Sus scrofa: one gene and its partners. The protein of the gene in region 7 interacts with the protein of the main gene of each other region in a pairwise test. Links are inferred from orthologs where the notes say so. Each region holds a gene or a part of one and is shown on either strand. Other genes may lie near its edges. The genes, in order: CLIP4, PTCD2, ABI2, UBE2U, UBQLN1, UBE2V1 and TRIM32.

Region 1 (3,993 bases), on a different chromosome or scaffold from region 7:
TGACTAGGAATCTCTGAAAAACCATTAAATATTAGAGTCACGTTACAAGTTGCATTTACTTAGAGCTGGGGTGATAGGATTCCTATGTAAATCAAAATTTGAGGGTTTTAATTCCTGTTATTGCATCTATTATCTATTGTTGGTTATTTAGGGCCTTTTTTTTTTTTTTCTTTTAAATCTTAGGCTGACTTTGCATAATTCATTATCACCAGTTAACCATAGTAGGATTTGAAATAGAAGTATGTACTCAATCCAGCTCATCTCTAGGTTTGACCAAGTTTCCCAGACCTTTAGATCCAAAAATTGCTTTTAGGAAAGTATTCTAAAGCTATATAAAGTTTGCAGAGGTATATAGTTTTAAGTGAGACAGAGGTAGAATGTTGGGTTTTTCATGGAAAAAAGGCAGTGGAACTAGGGAAAATGCATGAAGAAGAAAATACGAAGACTGTTCACTGCATTATTGAGGTAATATAGTAGCTTCCAGGGGCTTGAAATATCTAACATGTGAAATGAAATTTGTTACATCTTATTGAATGAATCATCTTTCCACCTTGAATCTAGGATTTGAATATTTACTAAATATGTGTAAGACACTAATCTAGCTCCTGTGGCAAGTGATAGTTGTGTAAGATGCAGTTCCTATTTTTAAGAATCTTACCAGTCTACCAGGAAATGAAAGGTATGCTCTGAAGACCATTTTAAAAAAATATTTTTGAATGAGAAACCCCACTCTTTGAAAGGGAGGTTTTGAAATGTGGCTTCCTCCTAACCAACTAACCAACTCAGAAAGATAACCACCTAATCATTTTGCTGCAAAGTTAAGAGTATAAAAAAACATGACTGAGTCCCAAAGTGTGAATGTAATCTTGTGGTTTTTTTTTTTTTTTTTTTGTGCCACACCCATGGCATATGGAAGTTCCCAGGCTAGGGGTTGAATCAGAACTGTAGCTTCTGGCCCATGCCACAGCCACAGCAACTCGGGATCCGAGCTGCGTTTGCGACCTACCCCACAGCTCATGGCAACCCTGGATCCTTAACCCACTGAGCAGGGCCAGGCATCAAACCTGCATCCTCATAGATACTAGTTGGGTTCGTTACCTCTGAGCCATGACAGAAACTCCCAGTGTAGTCTGCTTTAAAAAAAAAAATCAGTGGTTTCCTAGTGATCGTGGAATTAAGTGGCTTGGTGTTTGGTCAGGTATATAAGGCATTACTGGGGCGAGTCCTAAAAAACCATTGATGGGCTCCACTTCTAAATCGCTGCCTCTGTTTCTGCCTGCTCATCTTTCAGGACCTATCTTAGGTGATACCTTTTTCACTGTACCACTTTTTTTTTTGTCTGTGCCCACAGCATGTGAAGGTTCCCAGGCCAGGGATTAAACTCATGCCACAGCAGTAGCCAGAGCCACAGCAGTGACAATGCTGGATCCTTCACCCTCTGAGCCACCAGGGAACTCCTCACTGCACCATTTCTGATTCTCAAGAGCTCTCTAGCAAATGTTCCTTGTACTTAGGTTATGGAACATATCTCATACTATTTTGTCATTTTTAGTTATTAGTATTATTTTAGTCACCTTAACTGACTGTAAGCTACTTCACAATCATCGACCATCTGTTACTCATATTTGTATTCTCTGAAACATCTAGAATAGTGTAATGTCTTATACATCTTAATATTTATTAAACTTTATCTCTGTTCCTTGACTTTAAAGGATGCTTCATACCCTGCATAGAATATTTTGCCTAAATTTACTGCCAAGTAAAGTAGAGCCTTGTCAACAAGTAGAAATCCTGACCGGCTTTGAATACTGAGAAGCTCTAGTGTTGAAGGAGGGCTGTATTTGTGGTTATGTGCTACTTTTTGGAGTTGTTAGTATCTGAGGACGCTCACCATACTGTATGACAACAATCTTTCATATGTGACAAGGGGAATGTCAATCTGATTCAAAGTATTGGGTGGCAGGTAATTTCAGCATCCAAGAAACCTCGACTGCCTTTAACACAGTAACACTGGATTACGTTATTTAATATATAATATAATGTGTCTGTGTCAACATGTACCTGAAGAGAAAAAAGAAATCATCTTACTCTTTACTAGTTCCTACTAGTATTCAGAAAATATATAAATCTAGTTGGGAACAAAGCACTTAGCTAGAGAGGTGACTCTTTCCTTGAAGCAGCGGGATGATGGTAGGTAAATGCGGTGGTTAAAGATGATGGATATAGAGTTGGTTAACCAAGTGTAATAGAACACACATTGAGTAATAGCATGGCATTTTCTGCTCGGGTGAGCTCTCAGATAACCATCTTCACTTATTCTATTCTTTCTAGTGAAATAATCTAAAATCATTTTTATTTAGTTTTATAACATAGGTTTCTGCTTATATTTCAAACAGATGTATTGATTCATAATATTTCACACTTCAAAGATTTGGTACAAACGAAACCGGAAGGATTTTAGCTTCATCGTTCAGTTGTACTTACACCTTTTCTGCTTTCGGTGTCATTTCTGATGTGTGGGCTAGTGTATAGCTGCGTATAATTTAGAGTAACTTTATTCTGAGTGCTCATGTTTTCTGGGAAAAACAAAACAAAAAAAAAGAGGTAAGATAAGTGCTATGGTTTAGAAGGCATGGCCTTCCATCTGCTGCTAGGAGAGATGGAACAGATCCTCTACCTTGTTGAGACGTGGAACAGTGTCAGTAAGCTCATTGATTTAGATTCGTAGGAATGATGTGAGATGTGATCTGCTATCAGTAAAGTGTTCTGGGATGTCAGAAAATAATGAGAACATTCTAAACTAGACTATTTTCATGTGATGAGCACATGACATGAGCTATTGGATGATAGATGATAGAACCTTTGTCAGATCCTGTTAGAAGTTAGAGATCCATCTGCAGGGATATGTCCTCATTTGTTACTGTGAGTAAAGGGAACATCACCCATTTGGGTTAGCTCAGCATTTTTAAATTGTTTTCTCATATTATTGGGGAATGTATAGTATTTTTATTACTACTGAGCTTTGTCTAAAAAGATTACATGTGCTGCTGACCCTGAGAAACAGTGTGAAGCAATGTGTACTTTCTAACAAAGACTGATTAAAGGAAGTTTTTTTTCCCCTTCCTCTTTAAAAGAGGTTCTTGAAGGTTGAAGTTCAAAATATCAATATGTTAGTTTTTTTTTTTAATGTAGGCTTTTTTTGATTGAAGGCAATCATTCTAAGTTGCATACTAATATAATAGATATATTTTTCCCCCCTCTCATTAAAGGTGGCTTTCTAGAAGATGACCATAGAGGACCTTCCAGATTTTCCATTAGAAGGAAATTCTCTGATTGGAAGATACCCATTTTTATTTCAAGGTTCCGATACACCAGTTATTTTTTCCATTTCTGCAGCACCAATGCCTTCAGACTGTGGTAGGTTATGTAGCTGTGTTTATTTTCTATGAACTGGTAACTTGACTTCTGTCTTATACCTTTTTATATTTTTAATTTTTATAAAACCATTTGTTTTGGTTTTTGTAAAATTGCTAAAGTTTTCCTTTTTCAGGAATACAGTTGCTTATTGCTCTTTCTGCCTCTTAAGCCAAATGCTTTATTTCGACTGTCAGCACTTTTATTATGTAAAAGTGTTCATTTTAAGCACCATGGTGGATTCAGAGGATCTTATTTTTAGAATGCAGTGGTGCTTAGACATTTAGCATTCTTCTGCTATTGATGTATTTATTTTGGTTAAATGCGCTGACTCGCTTAAAAAGCCATGTACTGAAAAAAAAAAAAAAAGGAGACATAAAAGCAGTGTGAGCTAGCCATCTCGAAAGGCCCTGCTGTCTCTGAAATGATAGGATTCTAATTAACCAACCAAATAATCACTGCTGAAATGGCCCAAACTTGGGTGGCAGTGTAATGACAAGTGATGTGTTTTAATACACAAGCAAGCCTAATTTGGATCCTGTCTCATTTGTCTCCCATTGTAATTATCAGTGTGTACAC
Region 2 (3,993 bases), on a different chromosome or scaffold from region 7:
GTCACACGACTAGAACAACATATGCATGAGCCAGGTCTAAGGAACACACACACACACACACACACACTCTCCAGCGCTCTAACCCCGCTTTACCTTCTAGTTCCCTACCTCTCTAAACATCCTCCGGAAAGGTGTGGGTGAGGCACAACCTACACAGCGCTAAGACATCAAATAGAAAGAAGCTTTAGACTTAATCCTATCCAATTAGTTTGCCGACAGGCTCCCTTTGCCAGCCTTCTAAATTTCAAATAACTTACAATTCCTCTTTGTGTGCTTAAGCCATCAATGTGACACATTGGTTCCTCTGTTTCATTTTTCTTTCAATGTTTAGAAATTGCTTCTTTTCAATTTTAACTTATTTTATAATTTTGCAAAGCACTTATATGGTTCCATCAGTTGGTCTACTCAGGAGCCAAAATGAGAGTTCTAATTAGAGCAGCTTTAGTGTGGCTTCATATCCAGCAGGTCTGGCACCTTTTCCTACTCTTCTTTCCCAGGGTTTTCCCAGCTACTCTTGCTAGTTTGCTCTACTAAGCTTTAACTATAGGAAAAAAACCTAACGGTATTTTTATTGTGATGTTACATTCTCACATTAACTTTGGAAGAACTAATTTTATGCGGTTGAGTCTTCCTATCTAAATACCAGGTCTGTCTTTTCACTTGTTTAAGGCGGGGAGCTCTTTTTAAAGATGAGATGCTCCTGTCTACTATGTGCCCACGGGAGTGATCCACAGGCGCAGTGCGGAGGCTCCAAAGGGGTGAGGGGAGGGCCCCAGGCGCAGCTGGGGAGCCGAGCTGGCTCTAGAGAGCTGTCTGTCTGTAGTCACCTGGGCTTCAGGAGGGAAGGCAGGGTGGGGGGACAAGGAGGCAGCTCTGCTCTGATTGCTTCTATTTCCTTCTGAGACATGAGGCAAGGTTGACCCCTGAAGCATGAGGAGTGGGGAGAAGGAAGTGGATGCTTGAGGAGAAAGGGAAAAAAGAGAGCCGACCCCCGTGCAAACAGTGTGGGGAAAGAACTATGTAAAGGGAGAAAGCTTTCCTCGAATTGCAGAGGCTCTATTACGTTAGAAGGGAGAACGGACTTTGCGCCCACACACTGACAAGAGAACAGCGAGGCAGCCAGATCTGTGCCTCTGTTTAAGGAGGTGGCCTTAGGGGACTAAGGTACTGAGTGGCCGGTTCAGAGACTGCCCCTGCTCCGTTCTGTCATCTCTGTCCATACTCACCACTTCTTCTGAGAACACATGTTTTTTCACAAATCTTGATAAATTTCCCTCTGTGGCATCCTTCAGGATTTCTATGAGGGCTTTCAGCATATTGGATTGGACATGGATCATAATCTGAATAAAAAGAAGAAACAAGCAAACACAAGACGGAGCCAGTCATCAGCACTGAGCAACGAACCCTGTGAGACGAGCCCACGTTGACAGCCCCCCCCCACTTTCAGGCCAACTCCTCCTTCATTTGCTCGCACAGGTTCAAAAGAGCTTCGAAATGAATGCCCACAAGCCAAAATTTGTTTTCAGTAGCTAATCAAAACACCAAAACTTCACAACTTGCTAAAGGGCAGAAATGGGGGAATTCTAGAGTCTGGCATAGCGGGGCCAGAATCCCGGCACTGGCAGTCACCAGCGGAGTGACTCTGGCCAGGTATTTAATCTCTTCCACTTCCTGTATTTGTAACATGAGGAAAATACAGCTCACATTTGGGGTTACTGTTAACATGCAGGAGGTACTCAATAATCCTTACTGCTAGTTTTTCCTATTTCTTCTAGATTCAAGGCTGAGACATTCAGTCTCCTAAAGACTGGCTCTGGGGCAAATGATACCTTTATCTTTTTAATTTAACTTTGGGGTTCAGAAACAGCAGGGATAGAGGTTGTTGCAAGTGTAGAGTGGAAGCTGGTTAATGTCTTAATGAGGAATTCCTATTTACATGGTAGCTAGTAAGGAACTTTCAAAAGGGGGCCCTAGACGTGGCCTCCGCGTGATACTGCTCACCGCCTGCCGTCAGGTACAATTAACAGAAGGGCAAAAACACATTCTCCTGCAGCCCTCCCCATTGCCAGCGCCCGCTGAAAAATACAGAACAGTTTAAAGAAAATGAGAGTACCTCAGAATTCACCGACTGATGTTAACCATTGTTTAAAATCTTACGTATTATCTTCTAAATAATTTTAGGGAAAAAAATAAAACCTACTTTTTTTTTTTTTTTTAATCCTCATGACCACCCCATGAGGTAGGTATTATTATTATGCCCATTTTGCTGATGTCTGAGTGAAGCACTGAGAACTTGTCAGATCACATGGCCAGCACCTGCAGGGCCATGTTCTCTCTGGGGCTCGATTGCTGCTTCCAGAAAGACAAGGGGGTCACAGTGAACTGTGGGGACACCATGAACACCTGGATGTGTCCCTGACCCTGGGCCAGCCCCCTCCTGATAACCTGACAAGTCAGCAGGGAGGGCAGGCAGGAAGAAGGTGGGTGGGTTGGTCTTAGGTCCTGTGTGTGTCACGGTTTTCCCGCTGCTTCCTACATGTCCTCATCTCAGCCTCACCCCAACTGCCTGAGAAAATGGAGACCCAGTAAGGAGGTGACGGGCTGGAGCCACTGCAGCTGCTCAGAGCTGGATCCTGTCGGGGGTCTTGGGGGTGTTTCTCTCGCACCTCAGCCTTGGCAAGCTCAGGGGACGCTGCTGGCCCTGCTGGTGCAGCAAAGACAGACTCTGTTTGTAGCTGCCCCGGGTGTATCTGGCACCAACCCCTGATAAGCATCAACTATTCGGAAAGCCTTTCTGAGCCAGTATGAAGGTCAAGTTCCCCAGGTCCTGATGCTACAGGACAGGAGCAGGGGAGCTGGGAACGAGTCTCCATGCTTCATGTTAGGAGCTCACGCTCACCGGCAGCACTTGCCAGCGGGAGCTGCCCTTTCTGTGACTAGGGTGTCTGAACTCATTTCCTATCTCAAAACCTAATTTTTAATAACGAATGCAGAGCAATCCAGCATGTAAATAATGCAGCAAATAAAGCAATTACATGTTTTATTATATCAATAAATGTGCATACTTGTTAAAAATTGTTACTTTCTGGAGTTCCCGTCATGGCACAGTGGTTCACGAATCCGACTAGGAACCATGAGGTTGTGGGTTTGATCCCTGGCCTTGCTCAGTGGGTTAAGGTTCCGGCGTTGCTGTGAGCTGTGGTGCAGGTCACAGACGTGACTCGGATCCCGCGTTGCTGTGGCTGTGGTGCAGGCCGGCAGCTACAGCTCTGATTAGACCCCTAGCCTGGGAACCTCCATATGCCGCGGGAGGGGCCCTAGAAATGGTGAAAAAAAAAAAAATTGTTACTTTCTTAGATTTGATTCCCAGAAGTGAAATTACAAAGTCAAAGGGTATAAACATTGTTTAAGGCTCTTGATCTTTAGGAAGGATGATTTTTTTTTTTTCTTTTCTGGAAGAGATATTCCTTTTTCATACCAAACCAGCTAAGTTCTCTTAATAGTCCTTGTTATAATATTGCATGTTTGCTGAGCAGCTGATCAGAATGAGAGGTGGTCTTTGGTCCTAAAGAACGGAATGAAATGATCCTAAATGGGCCCAACTCCAAAGGACCTGATTAGGTGCAGTGTTCTGGAGCACAGGCAAAACTGTGAGCACAGCCCTCGTCGGGAAAGAACACTCTGTGGGTCGCTCACCGTCAGGCAGGAGCACTGACTGTCTCTAGTCCAGACTATACTGTCAAGGGTGTCTGCACAACAGCAGCCTGGGAAGACAGACAGCGCACTGCTCATTTTAAGAGATTTGGGTTTCCCAAGTTCCACGTTCTTCTCTTAAAATAACCCCCCTGTGTGGACAGCAAAGACTATCATGTTGCTCTGTGGGAACTGGGCGCAAGCAACGGATGCGTAAATGCGAAGCCTCTGGCTACCGCTGTTGCTGTGACACCTCTCAGTGTCTTGTTTTCCAGCAGCATCAGGAAATTGGCAGCTTAA
Region 3 (3,993 bases), on a different chromosome or scaffold from region 7:
AGGCAGGTTTGATCCCTGGCCTTGTTCAGTGGGTTAAGGACCTGGCATTGCCATGAGCTGTGGTGTAGGTCACAGATGTAGCTTGGATACCATGTAGCTATGGCTGCGGTGTAGGCCAGTAGCTACAGCTCTGATTCAACCCCTAGTCTGGGAACTTCATATGCCACAGGCACAGCACTAAAAAGCAAAAAAAAAAAAGCATCATTCCTTTTCACTCGACAGCCACTATTCTGGAAGAAAGGTGCTCCTTTTATATTGTTATTTTTACCATAACATTCTGTAATAGTATACAAAATTAAACATAACACCAGAAAACAACAGTATGGAGTTCTCGTCATGGCTCAGTGGTTAACGAATCCGACTAGGAACCATGAGGTCACGGGTTCGATCCCTGGCCTTGCTCAGTGGGTTAAGGATCCAGTGTTGCCGTGAGCTGTGGTGTAGGTTGCAGACGCAGCTCAGATCTCGAGTTGCTGTGGCTCTGGTGTAGGCCGGCAGCTGCAGCTCCGATTCGACCCCTAGCCTGGGAATCTCCATGTGCCACAGCAGCGGCCCAAGAAATGGCAAAAAGACAAAAAAAAAAAAAAAAAAACCATATTCCATTTTGATTTACACGAATCAGAAACTAAACATGTATCCAGACATAAACATCTTATTGGTAAAAAAGAATTTAGAAAAATACAAATCTCCTTTTCATGACTTTTAAAAAGATATTATCTATTTGTTATTAAAGCAAATTAAATATGTAATATCCTATCCTTAATGTCTTTTGGGTCATGTTTTAAAAACTAAATTTTAACTGTGAGTCCTCAAATTAAACAAGTACATTTCTCTGTTTCAGATAAGATCGGGTGCATTCAGGGTGGTATAGCCATACATTATTTTGTTTCAGAGAAAAGCGGGTAGCATTTCAGTGATTATTAAGTTCCAGAGTCAGCTAAATTTAACTAGTTAATTATATCTGTCCAATCCTTGGTTACCAATCTGATCCTCACACTGGGTGCCCACTGTGTCCAAAGGCATGCACTGTCATAACACCAGCTGGAATTAAACACGTAACTCATTCCAAGGTGGTATCTGAAACCTCAAAGCACCACCTCAGCCATAGCACCAAATACATTAAACCAAATAACAGAGAAGTTTGTAACAAACTTACAAATCACTTGGCTAAAATAACAAATGGATAAAGATTTCTCAACATTTAGACTCTTAAAGGGAAAAAAAAAATCCAATTATGAAGAAAACCCACTGTAATTAAATCAGAAACTCAACTCAAGACTCCAAAAGGAGAGGTGATGATGAAGCACAATGCATGTTTTACCTGGAAAGACACTGGGTGGAGAGGGGGTGGGAACGGCAATGGGGACTCCCACACTCCCACTTCCACTGTTCTCCCGACTGCTGCTCCTACTGCTTGGATGGCTTCCTCCACTACTCCCGCTGCTGCTAAAGGAATAAGAGCCACCAAACCATGAGCATTTATATATGGTAAGGTATCACCAGCATTTTCCAAAATTTTCTGAAATGAATATAGCTATACGATGATAATTCCAAAGTCTTTCACTTCAAATATGAATTCCTTAACAGAGTAAAGGGAAAAGCCGAGTTCAAAAAAACTTGTTTTGGATACCTTTTAACGAGTATGTATTAAAGAAGTTGGGAAAGAAAAAAAATTCTCCATCAATGTAAGTGACAAATGATGGGGCTCAACACAGAAAAATAATACTCCTTTCTTTCATTCCAGTTTAAAATGGCTGCCTGAGGAATCTTTTTTATAATAAAAAGTTTTCCTAAACAGATTATTTGATTAATTTTATTTGCAACATCACGACTACCCCATACTAGTGTTTTATTGCGTATAGTTTTTCATCTGTAAAGTTCCACCAAAAAACAACTTGAAATTTCCCACATCCGGTCCACAATTTTTTTTCGGGTCAACTAAAACTATCGATCTTGTAAAGGAGTTTGCACTTTGAAAGGTTTGTTCTTTTTCAACTTGCTGATTGCTCAAATTTGCATCAGAACATGAGGAGAGAGAGGTGGAATCAGATGAGGTTTGGAGGAGTAGAGTGAGGAAAAGAACTTAGTGCTTGGAAAATGAGAAAGGTTTAACTGAAGTTATCTAAACAAATTATGGTACTATGACCATCACATTTTGCGCTGAGGTAGAGAAAATACCTGTAAGTTCGATTTCTTTGATTCACAGAAGCTGTCCTCACAGGGCTCTGCTGCGAGGGAGCCATATTACGGGTTGGGCTAGGTACGTAATCATTTGGTACCACTGGAGGACGCACTGGCTCCAGTGTGCGATAGGGGGAGTGCCGCCTACAAAAAGAAGAGCGTATGTAGCGTGTGATTAGCAAGTTTCGGCACAATAAATTCAGAGTTGCCAGTAGTGAAATACAATTTGTACTCGAGAGATAGTAAAATGTGTTTTAAAAAAACCCAGCTACCAATTTCAGTATAAGTATCACCTCACCATTAGGGTTTTGATGCTACTGTTATTTTTTAGTCTCTGACCTCATTTCCCTGTGCCAATGCAATTTTGTTCACTCATTCTGAGAGCATGAAGATTCTCCCACCTGGTAGGCCAATGTTTCCCAGACTCTCTTCTAAGATACGTTCAAAGTATTTTAGTGCCAAATCAAATTCTCCCAACTGCACTGTACGAATGCACTAATTGTCTTCCTCACCCCCTCTCTCCCTAACCAAAAGTATTCAAAAAGTAAGGTAAATAAATTTAGAATTTGGCTCCACAACCCCCACACTGATGATCAAGAGCAACAACAATTCAATTCCTTTTGTATACAGCTAGTACACAGAAATAAAACTGTATCTCCACACAGAGAAATAAACAATGGAATCTCATTCTCCATTCTCTCTTCACATCCTCCTTCAACTTCCACCCTGACTGCCCTTACCCTCTTCAGAGTTCAATATTCAAAAGGGAGAGAAGAAATAAAAAGTCACCTAAGTCTTTCTACCTTATTTACTTTGAACTGTAAAGTACAAAGTAAACTGGATTTCATTAGCATATTTCCCTTTTTTTCCCCTCAAAATTCCCTTTTAAAAGAAGAGAATGAGAAGAACAAGAAAGGAAATATGATAGGAAATAGGATACACACTGGAACACTAGTGATTATTTAAGTTAGTTCTCATCTTTACATTTCCAAATTTTTTATGACAAACACTCTGACATGAAACTGATACTGTATAGATGAGATTCTGGTCTTTAAAAAAAAAACAAAACTGGATTTCAACATGTGAAAATTAAAGACTCTTCTTCTCCTAAAATGACATTACTCACTTGACTTATGTATTTCTCAATAATTCACTCTCCTGGAGTTCCCGTCGTAGCTCAGCAGTTAGCAAACCTGACTAGGATCCATAAGGATGTAGGTTAGATCCCTGGCCTCTCTCTCAGTGGGTTAAGGATCTGGTATTGCCATGAGCTGTGGTGTAGGTCGCAGATGCGGCTTGGATCCTGCGTTGCTATGGCTGTGGCATAGGCCAGCGGCTACAGTTCCTACTGGACCTCTAGCTTGGGAACCTCCATATGCCGTGGGTATGGCCCTAAAATACACAAAAAGACCAAAAAAAAAAAGTAATAATTATAATTCACTTTCCCAAAAGCTCCCCAGGTTCCTTTAAACTGTTCTGGGCCACTCAAGGGCTGGCTCACTGATTTGGAATGAGGTCACTTTGCAATGACCGTGTCTGTTCTATTACCATCAAAATCTGGCATAAACAAATACACACATTATTAAAAATGAATCAGGGCACTAAATGAGACACTGGGTCAAAGAAAGAAAAATGAAGGTCAGAACCTTGGATTTAAAATATTCCATATGCCTCCAGGCGACCGAAAAAATAAAAATAAAAACAAAAATAAAATACTAAGAAGTGTGGGCATCTCTTAAATTTTAACGTAAATCAAAAACACAATAAAATAGGAAACTAATTTCCAAACAATTTTTCCCAGAAAATAAAATG
Region 4 (3,993 bases), on a different chromosome or scaffold from region 7:
TATCAGGTAGTAAGTGACTAGTAAGTGCAGAGTTGAACTCATTAATTAAGATACTCTAAAATAAGTATGTAGCATTTTGTTTCACCTGCCAGAAACCTACACCTCAGAAAGTTTCAGCAAAATTTGGCCACAAGATTCCATCATGGGGTTTTCTAACTCCAAAATCCCTTGCTCTTAAGGCTTGGGTTCTATTCCTTCCTGTCTAGTGCACTTTTTGCCGACTGCTGTCACATATAGTACTTAAGTGCCTTTCACTTACAAGTTTAACACAGAGGAAGGCTTTACCCCAGGTGCCACCAATGATGTTATCAATGTCCACAGGTGCCATAGCTGTTTCATCACAAACAATATGGAGAATTTTTAAAAAATGGAAGGGTCAAGGGACTACTTAAGACTAGAAAGCTGTGCATAGGAAGGTGTAGAGTCCTTATCAACAGCTCCTTCAGGTATAGTTCAATGGCATTGCTCGGTTTCCACTCCTGCCGTGGAAGCATTGTCTTAGTGGATGCTAGGAACAATTACTGAGTTCAACATCAAACATCCTAGAGGCGTGAAAGTAACATTGGATACTGTTCCTGCTCCACCTGAATTTGTGGCTTGCTGTTGAAAGAAAATTTGATGAAGGGAGAAATGATATGTAAATATAGTTGATGTAGATAATAAAAGATGTAATGGTTATTCAGACTAGCACTCAACATAGCTAATAACTGTGTGGTTGCTCAGAGTGTTTATTGACTATGTTTAAGCATATTCCTCAGTGTAATGAATAACCTTTATCTATGAAATGTATTCTTGTTTCTCCATTGGAATAATAGCTCAAGTGTTTTATTCTTATATATGAGCGTGCTATTGGAGTTGTGTTTTACTTAATGAAATTTTTCTTACTTTATACTTATATAGCCTCCATATGGCTTTTAAAGGCTTTGAAGAAATGCATGCTTCTAACTATTCTTTTCGAAATTTGAATCTTATATTGTCTGTTGATTTGCATAAGCCACACATTCCATTCATGACCTTCCTATCCCACTCATGATTTCCACACTAATGATTTATTTTAAATGTACTTTTTTGTGTGTTTTCTGGTATCTGCCTTAACTTCTGTGAAGTAAGACAATATATAACACCTTCCCAAATCAAAAAATAAAGAAATTTATCAGAAAAAGAAAATGCAGAGCTTCGGGAATTTATTGCAACCTAATATTTGATTTTCAAAGCTGCAATAACTAATCCTTTTTCTGCTTTGATTTTTCTTAATTAAAGGGTATTAATGCCTTTCCTATCAGTGAAGATTTGTTGGAATGGGAAGTTGATATTAAAGGTCTGCAGAATACAATTTGGCAAGGTTTGTGCTTTCAAACATACTTTACTTTTTTAAAAGTCTTTATGTTATTAGTCTAATTTCTTTAATGTTGCATTATATACTTTTTTGAGAATTCTAAAAGTATTCACATGTTATTTTTTCATCGTATGGCTTAATTTTATTGCTATTTGTTAACATGGGTGTGAATTTCAGGCCTGAATTTTTCTTTATGCCACATCTTAATATCATGTTTTTAAGAAGCAGAACGTAAAGCATATCAATTGAAAATATCATCTCACAGTCTTCCATGAAACCAGAGAAGGGCAATTAAAATACATACTGGCATAAAAATCCCACAGCTATGTCTCATTCTTTTCCCTCTTTGATTTTCTCACAAATCTCCACAAATCAAATTCTCAAGAAGACTAGGGTGCTATAAACTTTAATGACCATGCACTCGTACAGAAGCAGATTAACAGGATATATTTGTTTGGGTGAAGTAGGAGAGAAAAACAGGTTAAGTGGATAATTACAGTAAAATATAATGTGCCATTATGGATTTTGAATGGATGACTGAGAAGGCCGTGATTAATTTTGCCTTAGAGATTCAGGAACAGCTTCCCAAGGAAGTGACACTTGAGTTGAGTCCTGAAGAATGTATGAGTGATGGCCAGATTTAGAATGAGAAGGTGATCCAGGCAGAGCAAAGAGCCTAGCAAAAGCCTCTATACAAGAGAGGGTTCTGAAGCAATGAGCTCAGTAAATATGAGGTGCACAATGAAGGGGACACAGTAAATATGAGATTCCACAGAGTCTGTGGGTGGAAAGGACTGGTGGGAATGGAAATGCTGAAAACAGGAGATTAGATTGTGAGGACTCTTATTACACTGTTTAGTGGGGTCTATAATCCAATTTACCTGTTCATAAAATCCTTGGGACCTTGGGGAGTCAAAACTGTGCAAAGAAACTCCAGTGTTAATCAGGTTACAGTTAATCAGTACGTGACACTTTAGTAAAAATGTTTATTTCTATATCATAGGATCATTCTTCCAACTGACAATAAGTTTTACATCAGAGTACAATTTTGTCCCTCCAGTTGTGCGATTTAGAACGATTCCTTTTCATCCAAATGGTAAGGAACAAATGAAGTTATTATTGTCATGGGCTCTTTCCCTATTAACCTTATTCTTTATAGTGTTTAATAATGATTCCTTTTAATCACTTTGTTATGATTATAAAAGTCAGCGTACTTACTCAGGAAAATATTAAAAGGCATAAAAAATTATCCATCTGATTCCTAATTCAGACAGATGCAACTCTCAACATTTAACCACATTTATTTCCTTTCTTCTGCATATGCATTTTATCTGCATAGTTGAGGTATTTCCACATAAAGTTTTATATCTTTTTTACTTAAAATGACAGAATACATTTATTTCTGTATTATTAAACATTCTTCAAAGAAAACTTTTAATGACTGAATGATAAACGTAACCATTCCTGCGTTGTTCAGTATTTTAGTTGGATCTAATTTTTTACTTAAAAAAAAATGATGCACTGACAAATTAACATCTTAAAAAGAAGTTAGATTGCAACTTCAAGTTATGCAAATTGTTGATCAGTTATAAATGTAAAAATTTCGACTATTAAAACGAAGACAACCTAATAGAATTTTTAATATGCTGGTGAGGAAGGCTTTTCTAAAAATAACAAAACCTAGAAACTACGAGAAAAGCATGACACATTAAATTGCATAAACTTTAAAAAATGTCTCTGTAACTAACAACATTATAAAGAGACAAAACTGCATTGACATTTGTAAAGTGAGGAAAAATATTTGAAAGGCATAAATTAGAATGTTTATAATATGTAAAGACCACCTGTAAATCAATAAGAAAAACATAAAGCAATAGAAAAATGGGCAAAGGTTATAAACCAACATTTGATAGAAAAAACGTAGTGAAAATAAACATAAAAAGATGTCAGCTTCACTAGAAAGAAAATAAATGTTAAAAATAATAACACAGGCATTCCCATTGTGGCCCAGCAGTTAACAAACCATGAGGACGCATGTTCGATCCCTGGCCTCGTTCAGTGGGTTAAGGATCTAGCATTGCCATGAGCTATGGTGTAGGTCACAGACGTGGCTCAGATCCTGCGTTGCTGTGGCTCTGGTGTAGGCCTCTGACTCCAGCTCTGATTCAGCCTCTAGCCTGGCAACCTCCATATGCCATGGGTGTGGCCCTAAAAAGACAAATAATAATAATAATAACAACAACACAGGAGTTCCCTCCTTGTGGCTCAGTGGGTTAAGGATCCAGCATTGTCATGCTGTGGCTTGGGTTGGGGCTGTGGTATGGGTTCGACCCCTGGCCCAGGACCTTCAACATGCTGTGGACATAGCCAAAAAAATAATAATAACATACAGTTACAGTACAGGTGGGCAAACAAGAGTTCTCTGATATAATGATATATAGAGTGACCTTGTGGGGAAGCAATTTGACAGTTTCATATCAGATATAAAGTGCAAATAGTCCTAAATCCTTGTAATACCATGTTTATAAATTATTTCATAGAAATGCTAGCACAAGTATGAAAGAATATGTTTTCTTCTATTTGAAGTATAATAGATTTACAATATTATGTTAGTTTTAGGTATGCAGCAAAGTGTTGCAGAACTTTGGCAGATTATA
Region 5 (4,432 bases), on a different chromosome or scaffold from region 7:
GAAGTTCCTGAGCTAGGGATTGAACCCGTGCCACAGCAGTGACAATGCAGGAACTCCCTTGCCTCTTTTTTGAGGGCAGACACTGACTCTTATTTTCCTCTGTATCCTCAACATAGTATTTGGACATTAATGTGCTCAATTAATGTTTGTAAAATGAATGACATATGCTCTTGAAATTTTTTTTTTTTCTTTTTAGGAGCACACCCGAGGCATATGGATGTTCCCAGGCTAGGAGTCTAATTGGAGCTACAGGTGCCAGTCACAGCCACGACCACAGCAATGCCAGATCCCTAACACGCTGAGCGAGGGCAGGGATTGAACCTCCAACCTCACGGTCCTTAGTCAGATTCGTTTCTGCTGTGCCACGACAGGACCTCCAGCTCTTATATTTGTTTCACCAATCATTTAACAAACAAAAATTGTTCAAAAGAATATGCCTCAGACACCCTGTGGCCAAATCAGATCCTAGGCCTGTTTTTGTAAGTAGTTTTACCAGGACACAGGGAGGCTTAGTTACCCATACACTGTCTGCAGTTGTTCTTTGTTACAAGCACAGAGCTGAGTATTTGAGATGGAAAATGTATGGTCCACAAAGCCCGATACAGCTACTATCTAGTCTTTCGATGGTTTCTTACAAGGTAGAGTTGTATCCAAAAAGGGCTCTAATGAATTACTTAACTACATAGTCTTACAGATAAATTCTATTACTCCATAAATTGAGCATAGTCATCAGAATTTTTGTAGAAATTGATGTAGATATAAATAATTACAGAGAAATTTTTCCTAAGTGTAGGGTTAGAGATAAATGATTGGTTTTCCAATGGCAGAACTTTCCACCTTGACAAGTAATGATTACCTCACATCCAGACACAAACAAACAGTCATCTTCTAGCAGAGAGCCTTGTGTAACTTCTTCATGCTATTATTGAACAAGCTGCCAGGAATGTAGCTGATATCAGATGATGCCTATGTTGCAATTTACACTTTGAGAGCTCCTCTTAGACCGAGATTCCAAAGGAGCTCTGCTAAAAAGTGGTCTTCATGTAAGAGTACTTATAACCAGAACAGAGTTGGATGGCTTAAGAACAGAAATACAGTACGTATCCTTGCATATTTGGATCATGGTGGGGTGTCAGAGTTTACACTTGTGCAATACTGGTTAATAAAGTTCATGTCCTGTGTTGTACATTCCTTTGCAAGTCATCTTCAAAGGCAGATGATAAGTTCATTTCAAATTTAGAATTCTTTAGAGGGAAATTAACTTACTGTTTCTTATTTGTACCCATGTTTCATTGAATATAATCTTCGAAACTTTAATGCCACTTGAAGTCTGAAATGAAGCAGTAACTTAATTTGAAAGAATATAAAATGAACACCTGAGCTTCATTAAATTGTCCCAGTTGGGTGGGCACTTCTTGGGTACTCTGCTTGTGCCACAAACATTTGGGGGGATAGTATTCAGAGAACTCCAGGATGCACTAGCAGGGTTGTCAACGCAGGAGAGGCCACTGTCAACACAGGTGGCCTGATCACCTGACCAAACGGGACTGACCCGAGGGTGGGAAGCTCTGGCCATGGAGCAGTGACTCCGCGAAACTGCGCAAGGTGGCTACAGGCATGTACTCCATTTTCCTTTTCTTAGGACGAGGATTTTTTTCCTCCATTAATTCATAATTCAACTCTCGCGCACCGGGCTATAAGAGCAAGTGTTTTAAAGCTTCCAAGTGGGTAAGAATCAAGCACATTTAAAATCAACGAAACACCTTGCGGGCATTTGTTCTAGACCCTCCTCGCAGCAGGCTACGCAAAGCAGGTACGGGAGCTAAGGGGGTGCGCACCGCCACCGGGGGGAGGGGGGGTGTAAGGTGAGGGGGTTGGGGAAACTACCTGGCCCACCAGCGCGCACGCGCATCTCCAGCCGCAGCGCCCAGTGGTCGATACCCCTTTCCAGTACTTTCGCTAGCCGTGACGTCATCCCTCTGCGCCCTTTCTGTCTCCCCGAGAACACGCGAGTTTATTTTTTGGTGAAAGGGGTAAAAAGAAATGAACTGACCTCTTCTACCCCACTTTGTTTTTAGTCCTTCATTCTGAACGCGCCTACGCTTTGAGCAATGGAGCAGGAAAGGGCAAAAAAGCCAGCCAGAGTCCCAAGCGGCGCCGGCCTGGCATGACTCGGCTACGTCTCCAGCCGCGTTACCCGGCGTGCCCCGCGCGGCGCCGGCAGAGGGACGTGGGGGGGAGGGGCGGGGAGGAGGAAGCGGCGGCGGCGGCTGCGGATGTCGCTGTGAGCGAGCGGCATCTGAACACACGGCGGCTGCCGAGCGCCCAACCCGGGCCTGCGCCGGGGTCCACGCCAAGCTTCGCGGCCCCTCGCCCGCTAGGACAGCCCTGCGCCCGTTGTCACCGAGGCAGCGTGCCCCACATTCTCCGCTGCCCAGGCCGGCCGGCTCTGGCGTCGCCTGGCTCCCCCTCGTTCGCCCGCTCCCTCCTGCGCGCCTGAGTCACCGCCGTCGCCGCCATGGCCGAGAATGGTGAAAGCGGCAGCCCTCCGAGCTCCCAGGACAGCGCCGCCGCGGCCGAAGGTGCCGGCGCCCCCGCGGCCGCTGCCTCCGCCGAGCCCAAGATCATGAAAGTCACCGTGAAGACCCCGAAGGAGAAGGAGGAGTTCGCAGTGCCGGAGAATAGCTCAGTCCAGCAGGTGAGGGCCGCCCTAGGCTCGGGGCGTAGTGGGGATGGCGGCAGGACCTCCGCCCGCCGTGGGAGGAGACGGTTTTGCAAGGGTTTGGCGGTGGTGGGGGTCGTCCCCGGAGGTGCCCTCATCCTTTCTCCCGCGTCTCATCCCAAATTCGATCACACCCAAGTTCGTGGGTTTGCTCCTGGGGGCATCGCAGGTTTGTGGCGGGGGCCGCGCGGCCTTTTTGGGGGATGAACAGATGCTGCTTCTCTCGGCTCCTTCTTCGGGCGTCCACAGACCCCCAGCCTCCTCCTCCAGCTCCCCGCCCCCAGCCGCCTCCTTCTGGCTCCTCACAAAGGAAAGGGACCCGCCGCCTGGCTCCGGGCGGGGTGGAGTCTGGGTTAGGGTTCGCCTTAGCCTAGTCTGCGATTTTGTCTCGTGAAAAAAAAAAAAGGGGATGCTCATTGTTTTACCTGCCTACAGGTTAAGGTGGATTGGGGGATGACGAGCACGTGTACATTTGGTTCTGCGTTTTGAGTGCTGAAAATTTTCCCATCTTCCAATCTTTAAAGAAAAAATTAACTATGACGTAGAAATTGTTTTCAGCCATATCTTAAGTGCTAGTACTAGGCTTAAACAGAAGAGGGGATGACTTTCATTGACGATTTGCTGGTCTTTTTTTAAAGTGTATTTGTCATCGCTTAGATGCCAATCATTGGGGAGGTTTTTTGTTTGATTTTAGTGGGAGAACTGCGTTATTCAGATATTAGCGTATGCAGTCGGATAACAACGAAATTGGAGTTAATGGAGAACATGCAAATATGCTACTTAAAATCTGTTCAGGAATACAAATCCCGCAGTTAATAGTCTTGAGGAATTTAACACATTGTTTTAGCTTATTGAATATACGTCTCAGGATATTTTCTACAATTATTGAGTTGATCTCAGCGTGAACAGTTTATGAAGAAGCAAAAATTACTGAAACGTACTTGTGAATGTCCCTAGGAACAATAAATGATTAGGGCATTTGTATATATAATTCTGAAAGGTGTTGTGTTTTGTCAAGTAGTAAGTAGAGTGTGTAGCATCAAGTGAGAAACTTTGACCACCTATTGAATCACCATATTTTTTTCCCTCAATATAACTATAAAAAATTTCCTTAACGTTTTTATGTTTTCTAGCATACAGGGAAATTGAAATAATTGTGCAGTGAACACCATGTGTCCATTGCCTACAGTTAGTATCTAGCTTTATTTGCTCTGTCATACAATTAATTTTATTTTTTCGGATGCATTTCAGGGTAAGTTTTAAGCATTAGTACATGTTACTCTTAAAAAGCACTTTAGTAATGTGCCTATCATTAACCTGAATTCATTTTTTTAACCTAAATTTTTTTTAGTTAAATTTGACTTGCGGTGAAGCGCACAATTGCCATTCCATGAGTTTTCCCACGTACATACACCTGTGTAATCCGAAGCCTTATCAAGTTGTAGAACTTTATAATTGACTAGGAAATTTCCCCCTTGCCCTTTCCCAGTCAGTTCAGTGACTCTCCTCCGTTAACCACTGTTTTGATTTCTTCCATGGATTCATTTTGCTTTTTCTAGAATTTCACATAAGTGGGATTATTGGGTATGTACTCTGAGTAAGGCTTTTTCTTTCAGCTTAGTGTTTTTGAGACTCCTTGTGTATCATCAGCAGTTCCTTTTCATTGCTATGATTCTTACTTTGTATGGATATACCACCGTAATCTGTTTA
Region 6 (4,576 bases), on a different chromosome or scaffold from region 7:
GAATGGAACATGAGGGCAAGAATGGAGGCTGCTAGGTCATCCAAGTGGGAGAAAGGGGGAGCCTGGAAGAAGTGGATGGAGAAGAGAGATGCTTAGGAGACACTGCTGTCAGAACAGAATGATGAATTGCATGCACTGAGTGAAGGCTTCCAACTTCCTTGTTCCTCTGCACTGAAAGCCCTGGTGTTTTCTCTGCCCATATTTAGCTGTGTTACCTTGAGGCAATCTTTTCACCTCTCTCAGCATCAGTTTCTATATCCATATTAAGGGCTTCTCAGAACATTTAAGATTGAAGAGTTTCTTCTGGATTTAACATTTGCAAAATGTCCCCAGGGCCTTTGCACATGCCATTCCCTCTACCTCCTTCCTATTATTCAGGTCCTTATTGAAGTTTGAAGGAGGCCTTAGAAGGCCCTCCCTGACCACTCCTTCTCTAGTTTACTCTCTATCCTATTATAGTTATGTTCTTTCCCACTTGTTTACTTTCTTCCTGTCTCCAACTAAAATGTAAGCCCATGAGAGCAAGGGCTTGCTTTTTCAGGGATTATAGTCATCCTTAGCACCTAGGACTGCATCTGGCACATAATAGATACTTAGTAAATATTTGTTTGATATAATGAATGAAGGAAGGAACAAGCGAATGGGGAATGCGTTCCTTGACACTTTAATGCCCCCCAAACCATTTTAGCTACCCTTCTATAAGACCCTTCTGGCCTGGGAGCATCCATCCTGGAAGCAAGACACCTGGCCCACATTCAAATTCTGACTGAGGCACTTAACAGCTGAGTTTAGTTAAATCGGTTAACACCTCTTCCCTTCACTCTGCAGTTTAATCCCAGCTTCATTCTTTTATCCCCACCTGGTAGAAATGTGAAGATCCAACTAGATAGGAAAATGCTTAAAGCAAAATAGGCATTTTAAAAAATATATTATAAATTTGCATGTTTACTTTTTTACTTTTATCGATTTACAATACTGTGTTAGCTTTAGGTGCACAGCATAGGGATTCAGGTTTTTGTGGTGTGGTGCTGTTGTTGTTTTGCAAATTATATTCCATTATAGGTTATGACAATACGCGGGTTTTTTTAAGCTTTCTTATCTTTTTCTTTCCCAGTCACGCCTTTCCAAGTCTGATCACCCTTGCCTTTCTCACCAAGCACCTCAATAGCTCCTTCGCACCCAAACCTGAAGGACCTTGCAAGCTGCTGGCCATGGCGCACGCAAATATTTCCTCTCCTAAAGGGCAGAAAAAAAAAAACCTTCCCGGCAACGGGTCCCGCGGTCTGCGGAGCTGGCGTCAGCGGAGGGATTTGCGCATGCGCACACGCATGCGTAGAAAGGCCCCGGGACGGGCGGGGGGTGAAGAAGGGGCCGGCCTTTGAGCGACAGCGACGCAAGATGGCAGCCACCACGGGCTCGGGTGAGCGGGGGCGCCGGGCCCGGCCGGCCGAGGGGGCAGGGGTTCGGGCCGGGGGCGGGGGACCTGCAAAGGCCCTTGCTGCGGGGCTAGGGTCTCTGCGTTGCCTCTGTCTGCTGGGCCCCACGGCGGCGACCCAGGCGGCCTGAGTGGGGAGGAGGAGCAGGCGGTGGCCGGAAGCACGGGCGGGGGCCTGAGGGGCCTGTGGGAGGCGCGGCAAGGCCCAGAGGCTCCCCCGGGCGGTGTGAGGGCCCAGCTGAGAGGAAGGGCCCGGCCCCGCTGCGCTGCTGGGCGGCGAGAGCGGGCGAGGGGTGAGCCCAGAGACACCCCTGAGGAGACTGGAGCTGGCGGCTCTCTGGGGGGAGATCAAGGGGTTCTCTGGAGGACGAGGAGGCTCCCCCAAACGAATGGAAGTCCTTTATTGGGTGCTGAGGGTCTAGGCGGGGGGGAAGCAACCGTGGGATGTCCATTTAGCGGGGACTTCAGAGAAGCCTCTCCGGATGGATGGGGGAAGGAAACAGCATTCTGAGAAGTGATTGAGAGGATCCCCCATTGGTTCAGGGGACGACTCCAGTGTTAGTTTTGGGGATGGGGTTAGCTGAGGAAATTTCTATGTTGATTAGAAAGGGGGTGTCTGGGGTGTCTGCTTTTGGGGAGATTCGGGGTATCTCTACAGGATAAGAGAAGGGGAAAAGGATTTCTCGGATTCCAGCGGGATCTCGTTGGAGCATCAGAAAGTGAAATGACCCCATGGTTACCAGGCCCCTATTTGAGAAGATAGATGTTAGGTTTTTGGATAGCTCCGGGTAGGGCAGTTGGTGGAAGCCTGCGATACTGGGCGAAGAAGAGATGAATTGGGAGCCCTGGAGGTGTCTGGGGTAGGAGTCAACTGAGGGAAGCCCCATGCAGTGGGTGACAGTAAGAAAAGGTCGGGTTTCAGAAATATTTCTTTTAGAAAAGATCTTTATTGAGTGTCACTCCTTTCCACTCTTTTGAATATTGATAACACATGGTTGTTCAGCTCAGCAGTTCTCCATCGACTTGATGGGCATGGGGAGAGGGACAAGTGAAATGGGAACCTTGGGTGACTGGAGAAGAAGGCTGAGAGGCAAGAGAGCATGAGGGGGCTACACTTTGTGTGTGTGTGTGGAGGGGGGGGTCTACCAGGCCCTAGTAGATAAAGGGAAGTAGCATTTATTTTGAAACTGGATTCCCTGCTCTACATTTCTGAGATGTGCCAGAGGATCAAATCCTGAAGGGTCTGTTTCAGAGTTAACACTCCCAGTTGAGCATCAGGGGATGGACTCAAATGGCCTTCTGGAGCAGGCAGGCTGAGGATTGCCTGAGGAAGGTCCCTCAGAGGGGTTGATGATGCAAGAGAGTCTGATTCTGGAAATGCAGGATTTGGGAATGACAGTGTCTCCCTCCCTTTTGGTGAGGATGCTGTCCCCTGAGGTGCCTGGCAGTCAAATTGGCCAGTGAAGTCCTCCCAGATGAGGTGACAGTGGGTGACCTGTGATGGAAAAAGCAAACAGGACCACCAGCCCGGACATTGAAATCTGATGCTGCAGCAGTGTTGTTAGGAGAGAGTCGGTGACCCAAAGTGAACAGGGTGGGGGGAGTGTGTCTTTCAACGATGGTCCCCCTCCAGTATCCTAAGGAGCCATCTTTGGCTGATTGTTATAGTGGGAATAGAGGGAATTTGAAGTGGGGGATCTGACTGAAGTCACCTGCCACAGGCTGCCTTTTATACTTAAAGCAATGGGGTCTTCCTAGAGGACAGAGGAAACCATACATCATTTTCCTAGATTTTGATTTCAGTTGGAACAGTGCTGAGTCAGTTCATTTACCAAGAGACCGCCAGAGACATTCTCAGAAGAGAGAGGCTGAGTCAGGCCAGACTGCTGTGGGAAACCTCTCACTAGAATAACACCCCTGCCAGGTTGCTATGAACAGGGGGGTGCACTGTGCCTGGAGCAGCCAGCATTATGGTGCTCTTGCAACTCAGCCCTGTTGGCAATCACTTGATAGTGGCTACCTATAATCCGGTTTAACAGCTACCTAATTCTAACTTCTTGAGGCCCTGCCAGTTGAAGAGTTCTTCATAAATGCTGTGGTGGTCAGATAAAACATCTTCAGCTGCTGTCTAGTGGCATATAAGAACACTTGGCATGGTTTAGATAAGATGGAACAGGTTTTGAGTTGCCCTAAAATGGGTTTCCCAGAACTCCTTTATTTATTCAACAGGTATATTATTAAGGGTTTGCTGTGTTCCGTGTGAATAGCGAACAAGATGGACATAGTCCCTGTCCTTGAGGAGCTTCTCTTCAAGTCAGGAAGAAGCCCATTAAAGGACAAAATAATTAAGAAGATTTCAGATAACAGTAAATGCTGTGAAGGGAATTGTGTAATGTAATAGTGTCTGGAGAGGTGGTCAGGAAAGGCTTCTCCAAGAAGGGGCATTTGAACTGAGACAAATGATGGAAGGAGCCAACAGTGTGTGTCACAGGCAGGGGAGGGGGAGACAGTGAGTGCAAAGGCCCCGTGGCAGGATGAAGCTTGGCATGCTGAAAGAATAAAATAAAGGCCTTAGTGTGCAAGGAAGTCTTCTTAAAGAGATGGGTTGCAGAGATACGGCTTTGGATTTTTTTTTTTCCCCTTCTTTTTTTTTAATGGCTGCACCCTGGGCATATGGAGATTCCTGGACCTGAGATTGAATCCAGTCTACACATCAGCTATAGCAGTGCAGGATCCTTTAACCCACTGAGCTGGGCCTGGGATCCAATCCATGCCTCCACAGTGACCCCAGCCACTGCAATTGGATTCTTAACCCCTTGCACCACAGCGGGAACTCTTGGTTTTGGATTTTATTCTGTGTGAAGGGAAGCCATTAACAAGTGTTTGGTCTGAAAGAGACATTCAGTAAATATTTGTTGAATGAATAAATGAGAGTCTTAAAAAGAGGAGAAAGATCCGATATCTGCTTCCAAGCAGTAAGAGTGCAGAGTGCTACGGTCGAAGCAGAAAGATTTTATTTGTATTATACTAAAATAAGTGTACAGGCCTCTCTGCTAACCCTGAGAAGCCTTTCAGGTGTGGTCAGAGGCCCTGAGGCCTTCCCTAGACTGGTTTAGAACAAGCCTCTTGATTAATCCATGC
Region 7 (3,428 bases):
TTATATTAAGCCAGCCTGCAGCACCATTTCTCCGCTGCAAACCCTGTGCCAAAGGCCTCAAACACCATTACTGCCTCAGCAAGTCCCCCTCTGACAGCAAAGATAGATCTCCTGCTGCCAGGTGCTACAACAGATAAAGTGGCTCTAATAACTGGTGGAGTCAATTCGCGATGCATTCTTAATTGGATCAATTTCCTCTCAATTATACAGTCTTTGAAAATCGGATGCAATTTCATAATCAGAACGTGGGGCTTTTCTCCAGGTGAAAAGCACAAGACAAACTAGTTTGACATCATTTTAATTAGCTTCTTTCCTATGCTTTGTCAGCTATCACAACAGAAGCCAAAAAAGCACCACCACCACCAAAAAGCAGTTTTGAGAAGCTTGGCTTAGTAGAATCTGCTCTGTGAAAGCCAGGTAATAGTTCTTTGGCTTGTCATCAGCCCTGCACCCAAAGAGCAAGATATGTTGCTTGTTAAACACCAAAGCCTGAGGAACCTTGTCACAAATTCCCTCACCCACTTCAGGTCTTCCTGAAATCACAAATTCCTTCCTCTTTTGAACTGTAATTATAAGGATAAAGCAGGTGGAGGCTGAGTTTAAAACAGGGTGCTGGTGACTGCAGACCTTGGAGGCTGATTCCATACACAGGTTATGTGGGAGTAGGATCTGGATTAACTTGACATAATGGTACTTTTGGCTGAATGGTGACCTAGGTAGATTCTTACCATCCTCAAAGGATGGAGTGTCAGGTGTGGAAACAAAGCAGCAGATACCACCCCCACCTCCCAAATCCCATATTTAATGAAAAGACACGAACACCAGTGATGAAGAAACAGTTATCAATCATTTAATGCTTGATAGAGGAATGGAAATAAATCCCCAAACCAAATATGATGCACTCACTTGAGGAAAATACAGAATAAGGACCCCACAGTTTTAATGATGAAAATGAGATGTGTCCCCCTCTGCACTGTGTTGGCCCCAGCCTGTGTTGTACAATTCCACAGACAGCTCTTAGCACAGGTCAGTGGAGAGAGGTAGTATGAAAAACGATGAGCTCTAGAGACTACCCAACAGTGTCTTTTCACTATAAAAGCATTTATTTCTGTTTATTCCCATTTTCCTATGCTTTGGCCTAATTCCAATCCATATGCTCCTTTGAAAGGCTAGCAATTTCCAGGCTAAGGCCTTCAATACCAGCCAACAAGGGTCAATCCATCCTCTGTCACTGCCACAACTGGAGACCAATCCAAGATAGCACAGACCCCCCCAGAGCTGAGAGGCCCTGCTTCCCAGAGGGACTGTATGTCTCCCTTGGTGGCACTAAGTGAAAGGTGCTCTGACCCGAGACATCATGCCACAGGGATAGGATGTCTGAAGTGTCACTGAAAGGTGCAGCAGGTCCCACTGGAGCATGCATGCTAAATGCAGCAGAGCTGAAGAGAAAGTCACAGATGGAGTGTATATCAATAAGGGAGGAAATAATGGACCAGAGTGGTCAAAGCCAAAAGAGAGAAAAATCAACAAGGATTCAATACAAGGGCAAATTTCAAATACAGGGGCAAAAGGCTACTGAAGCCCTGGAAGTGTCTAGGTTCTACTCAAACATCGGCTAACCTCATATCGTGTCCTATTTAGGGCAGTGCATCTGTTAAAGCTCTAAACTTAGGGAGGAGATAATGCAAATTAAAACAAACAAACACACTAAAAGAGACAGAGCTTCTAAACTTCTAGGACTAGCCAGCTGGAATCAGGACACAGGCCAAGTCTACGCTACAGTACCACCAACCACCAAGGAATGAGGGAAGGGAAGATGGCTGAGGAGCACAAGAAACTGCTATCACTCAGCCCCCTAAGGGGTAGAATATCTTCTCAGATGGTAGCTGTAAATCTTGATGCAATGATCCCAACAGTCCAAGACCAGCAGCTGCCCCTTAGGAGTGAGGGCGATGCCCACTGGACAGGTGAGCCCCTCTCGGATAAGGACACTATAGCCGCCCCCCTTGGGGAAGTGGAGAATCTCCTTGCGACTGCTGTCAGCCACGATGAGATCCCCACGCGCATCCACACACATGCCGGCGATACAGCGGAAATCCTCGTTCTCTGAGAAGAAGTGGCTGATCTGGCGACCCAGCTGCCCGTCGGGGCCCACAGAGCCAATGGAGAAGCCGCCCTCCAGGTGGTGCTCATTCTGCCGATTCTCCAGATTAAGGCCCAAGCCCTGGGTGAAGTAGACGGTGCCCTCGGTGTCGCAGGTCACAAACTTGGGCCGAACGGCACTGCACAGGCAGCTGTACTTGACCACCCCTGCTCCTCGGTCAACAGTGAAGCACCAGAGCTTTCCACCCTCCACATCAGTTACCACGAACTGGCCGGATGGAAGGGCTGTGATGCCCCAGGGCTTGCTCAACTGGCTCCTGTGACAGGCCACGCAGTGGCCATCCAAGGTGTACACCTTGAGGGAGTTGTCATAGCTGTCAGTCACACCGATCAGCCCGTGGCAGTTCATGGCCACTGAGAGAGGAGTGAGATTGGGCAGATCAGCCCCAAGGAAGCTCAGCACAAAGCTATCGATGCCGCTGGGGCTGCGGCGGATCTCCTTCAAGAAGCCTTTGCGGGTAAAGACTTGTATACGGTAGTTGCCTCGGTCAGCGACCAGCACCTCGCCTTGACCAGTCACGTAGAGGCTGACCGGAAGGTTGAACATGCCTGGAGTGCTGCCTTTGGCCCCCATCTTCTTGAGAAAGAGGCACTGCTGGATGCTGGCGGCTGTCTCGGCTCCCCGCTGCTTAGCAGGCGAGGCCCTCGGGCTGGCAACTTCCTCGGGGCTCATGTCCATCTCTCTAAATGTCACAGAAGTAGAGGCAGCAGAAGCCGCAGCCTCCATGGCCCAGGAGTCTTCCATGTTGACTGTCCGGGGCTTCTTAACCGCCTGCCCGATTTGGAGGGGGCCCACGTGGCCGACCTTGAGGAGCTCCACGTCCTGCAGGGTCAGCTCGTGGGGCAGGCTGGCGGTGAGCTCGGGCTCCTCCTCCTCCGCCGTCTCTTCCAGGAGCGCCACATCCGCCTGCTTGATCTTGGCCAGGAAGTAGTCACAGCGGGACACAGCCTGCACCTCTGCGATGTTGAGCAGGTAACTCTGCTCCTCCACCACTTGACTGTTGGACTTTTCAACCTCAGCCAAAGAGCCTGTGAAGAACTTCCGAGAGCGAGCCAGCTCCTCCTGGACCCGGCGCTCCTCGTGCCCGTACTCCTGGAGAACGGCTTTATACCGTGCCTGCAGGTCCTTGGAGACACCTTCCAAGGCCACCTTCCGCCGCTGCAGCTCCCCCATGAGCTCCCGTAGACGGGCCAACTTCTCTCCAAAGTCCCGGCGCCGCTCCTCGGCGGCCTCTTTGACAGGGAGCGTGCAGTGGCCGGGAGGC

The links.
Region 1: the proteins of TRIM32 (region 7) and CLIP4 interact in binary tests that used the Homo sapiens proteins (3 or more experiments, as listed by UniProt). The two-hybrid records come from large-scale screens. The link is inferred for Sus scrofa from reciprocal best matches to the Homo sapiens genes TRIM32 and CLIP4.
Region 2: the proteins of TRIM32 (region 7) and PTCD2 interact in binary tests that used the Homo sapiens proteins (3 or more experiments, as listed by UniProt). The two-hybrid records come from large-scale screens. The link is inferred for Sus scrofa from reciprocal best matches to the Homo sapiens genes TRIM32 and PTCD2.
Region 3: the proteins of TRIM32 (region 7) and ABI2 interact in binary tests that used the Homo sapiens proteins (3 or more experiments, as listed by UniProt). The link is inferred for Sus scrofa from reciprocal best matches to the Homo sapiens genes TRIM32 and ABI2.
Region 4: the proteins of TRIM32 (region 7) and UBE2U interact in binary tests that used the Homo sapiens proteins (3 or more experiments, as listed by UniProt). The link is inferred for Sus scrofa from reciprocal best matches to the Homo sapiens genes TRIM32 and UBE2U.
Region 5: the proteins of TRIM32 (region 7) and UBQLN1 interact in binary tests that used the Homo sapiens proteins (3 or more experiments, as listed by UniProt). The two-hybrid records come from large-scale screens. The link is inferred for Sus scrofa from reciprocal best matches to the Homo sapiens genes TRIM32 and UBQLN1.
Region 6: the proteins of TRIM32 (region 7) and UBE2V1 interact in binary tests that used the Homo sapiens proteins (3 or more experiments, as listed by UniProt). The link is inferred for Sus scrofa from reciprocal best matches to the Homo sapiens genes TRIM32 and UBE2V1.

Annotation. Positions count from the first base shown.
Region 1 is NC_010445.4:110,174,342-110,178,334, reverse strand, and holds part of CLIP4 (CAP-Gly domain-containing linker protein 4), read left to right. Parts: intron 1-3,269; 5' UTR 3,270-3,284; coding exon 3,285-3,417; intron 3,418-3,993.
Region 2 is NC_010458.4:48,628,741-48,632,733, reverse strand, and holds part of PTCD2 (pentatricopeptide repeat-containing protein 2, mitochondrial), read right to left. Parts: intron 1,341-3,993; coding exon 1,227-1,340; intron 1-1,226. UniProt on the Homo sapiens protein: Involved in mitochondrial RNA maturation and mitochondrial respiratory chain function.
Region 3 is NC_010457.5:106,856,582-106,860,574, reverse strand, and holds part of ABI2 (abl interactor 2), read right to left. Parts: intron 2,326-3,993; coding exon 2,179-2,325; intron 1,447-2,178; coding exon 1,322-1,446; intron 1-1,321. UniProt on the Homo sapiens protein: Regulator of actin cytoskeleton dynamics underlying cell motility and adhesion. Functions as a component of the WAVE complex, which activates actin nucleating machinery Arp2/3 to drive lamellipodia formation.
Region 4 is NC_010448.4:148,300,610-148,304,602, reverse strand, and holds part of UBE2U (ubiquitin-conjugating enzyme E2 U), read left to right. Parts: intron 1-1,260; coding exon 1,261-1,342; intron 1,343-2,339; coding exon 2,340-2,432; intron 2,433-3,993. UniProt on the Homo sapiens protein: Catalyzes the covalent attachment of ubiquitin to other proteins.
Region 5 is NC_010452.4:31,274,361-31,278,792, forward strand, and holds the start of UBQLN1 (ubiquilin-1), read left to right. Parts: upstream 1-1,555; 5' UTR 1,556-1,813; intron 1,814-2,053; exon of another isoform or gene 2,054-2,078; 5' UTR 2,079-2,518; coding exon 2,519-2,698; intron 2,699-4,432. UniProt on the Homo sapiens protein: Plays an important role in the regulation of different protein degradation mechanisms and pathways including ubiquitin-proteasome system (UPS), autophagy and endoplasmic reticulum-associated protein degradation (ERAD) pathway.
Region 6 is NC_010459.5:51,661,265-51,665,840, reverse strand, and holds the start of UBE2V1 (ubiquitin-conjugating enzyme E2 variant 1), read left to right. Parts: upstream 1-1,342; 5' UTR 1,343-1,398; coding exon 1,399-1,420; intron 1,421-4,576. UniProt on the Homo sapiens protein: Has no ubiquitin ligase activity on its own. The UBE2V1-UBE2N heterodimer catalyzes the synthesis of non-canonical poly-ubiquitin chains that are linked through Lys-63.
Region 7 is NC_010443.5:257,064,312-257,067,739, reverse strand, and holds the end of TRIM32 (E3 ubiquitin-protein ligase TRIM32), read right to left. Parts: coding exon 1,856-3,428; 3' UTR 829-1,855; downstream 1-828. UniProt on the Homo sapiens protein: E3 ubiquitin ligase that plays a role in various biological processes including neural stem cell differentiation, innate immunity, inflammatory resonse and autophagy.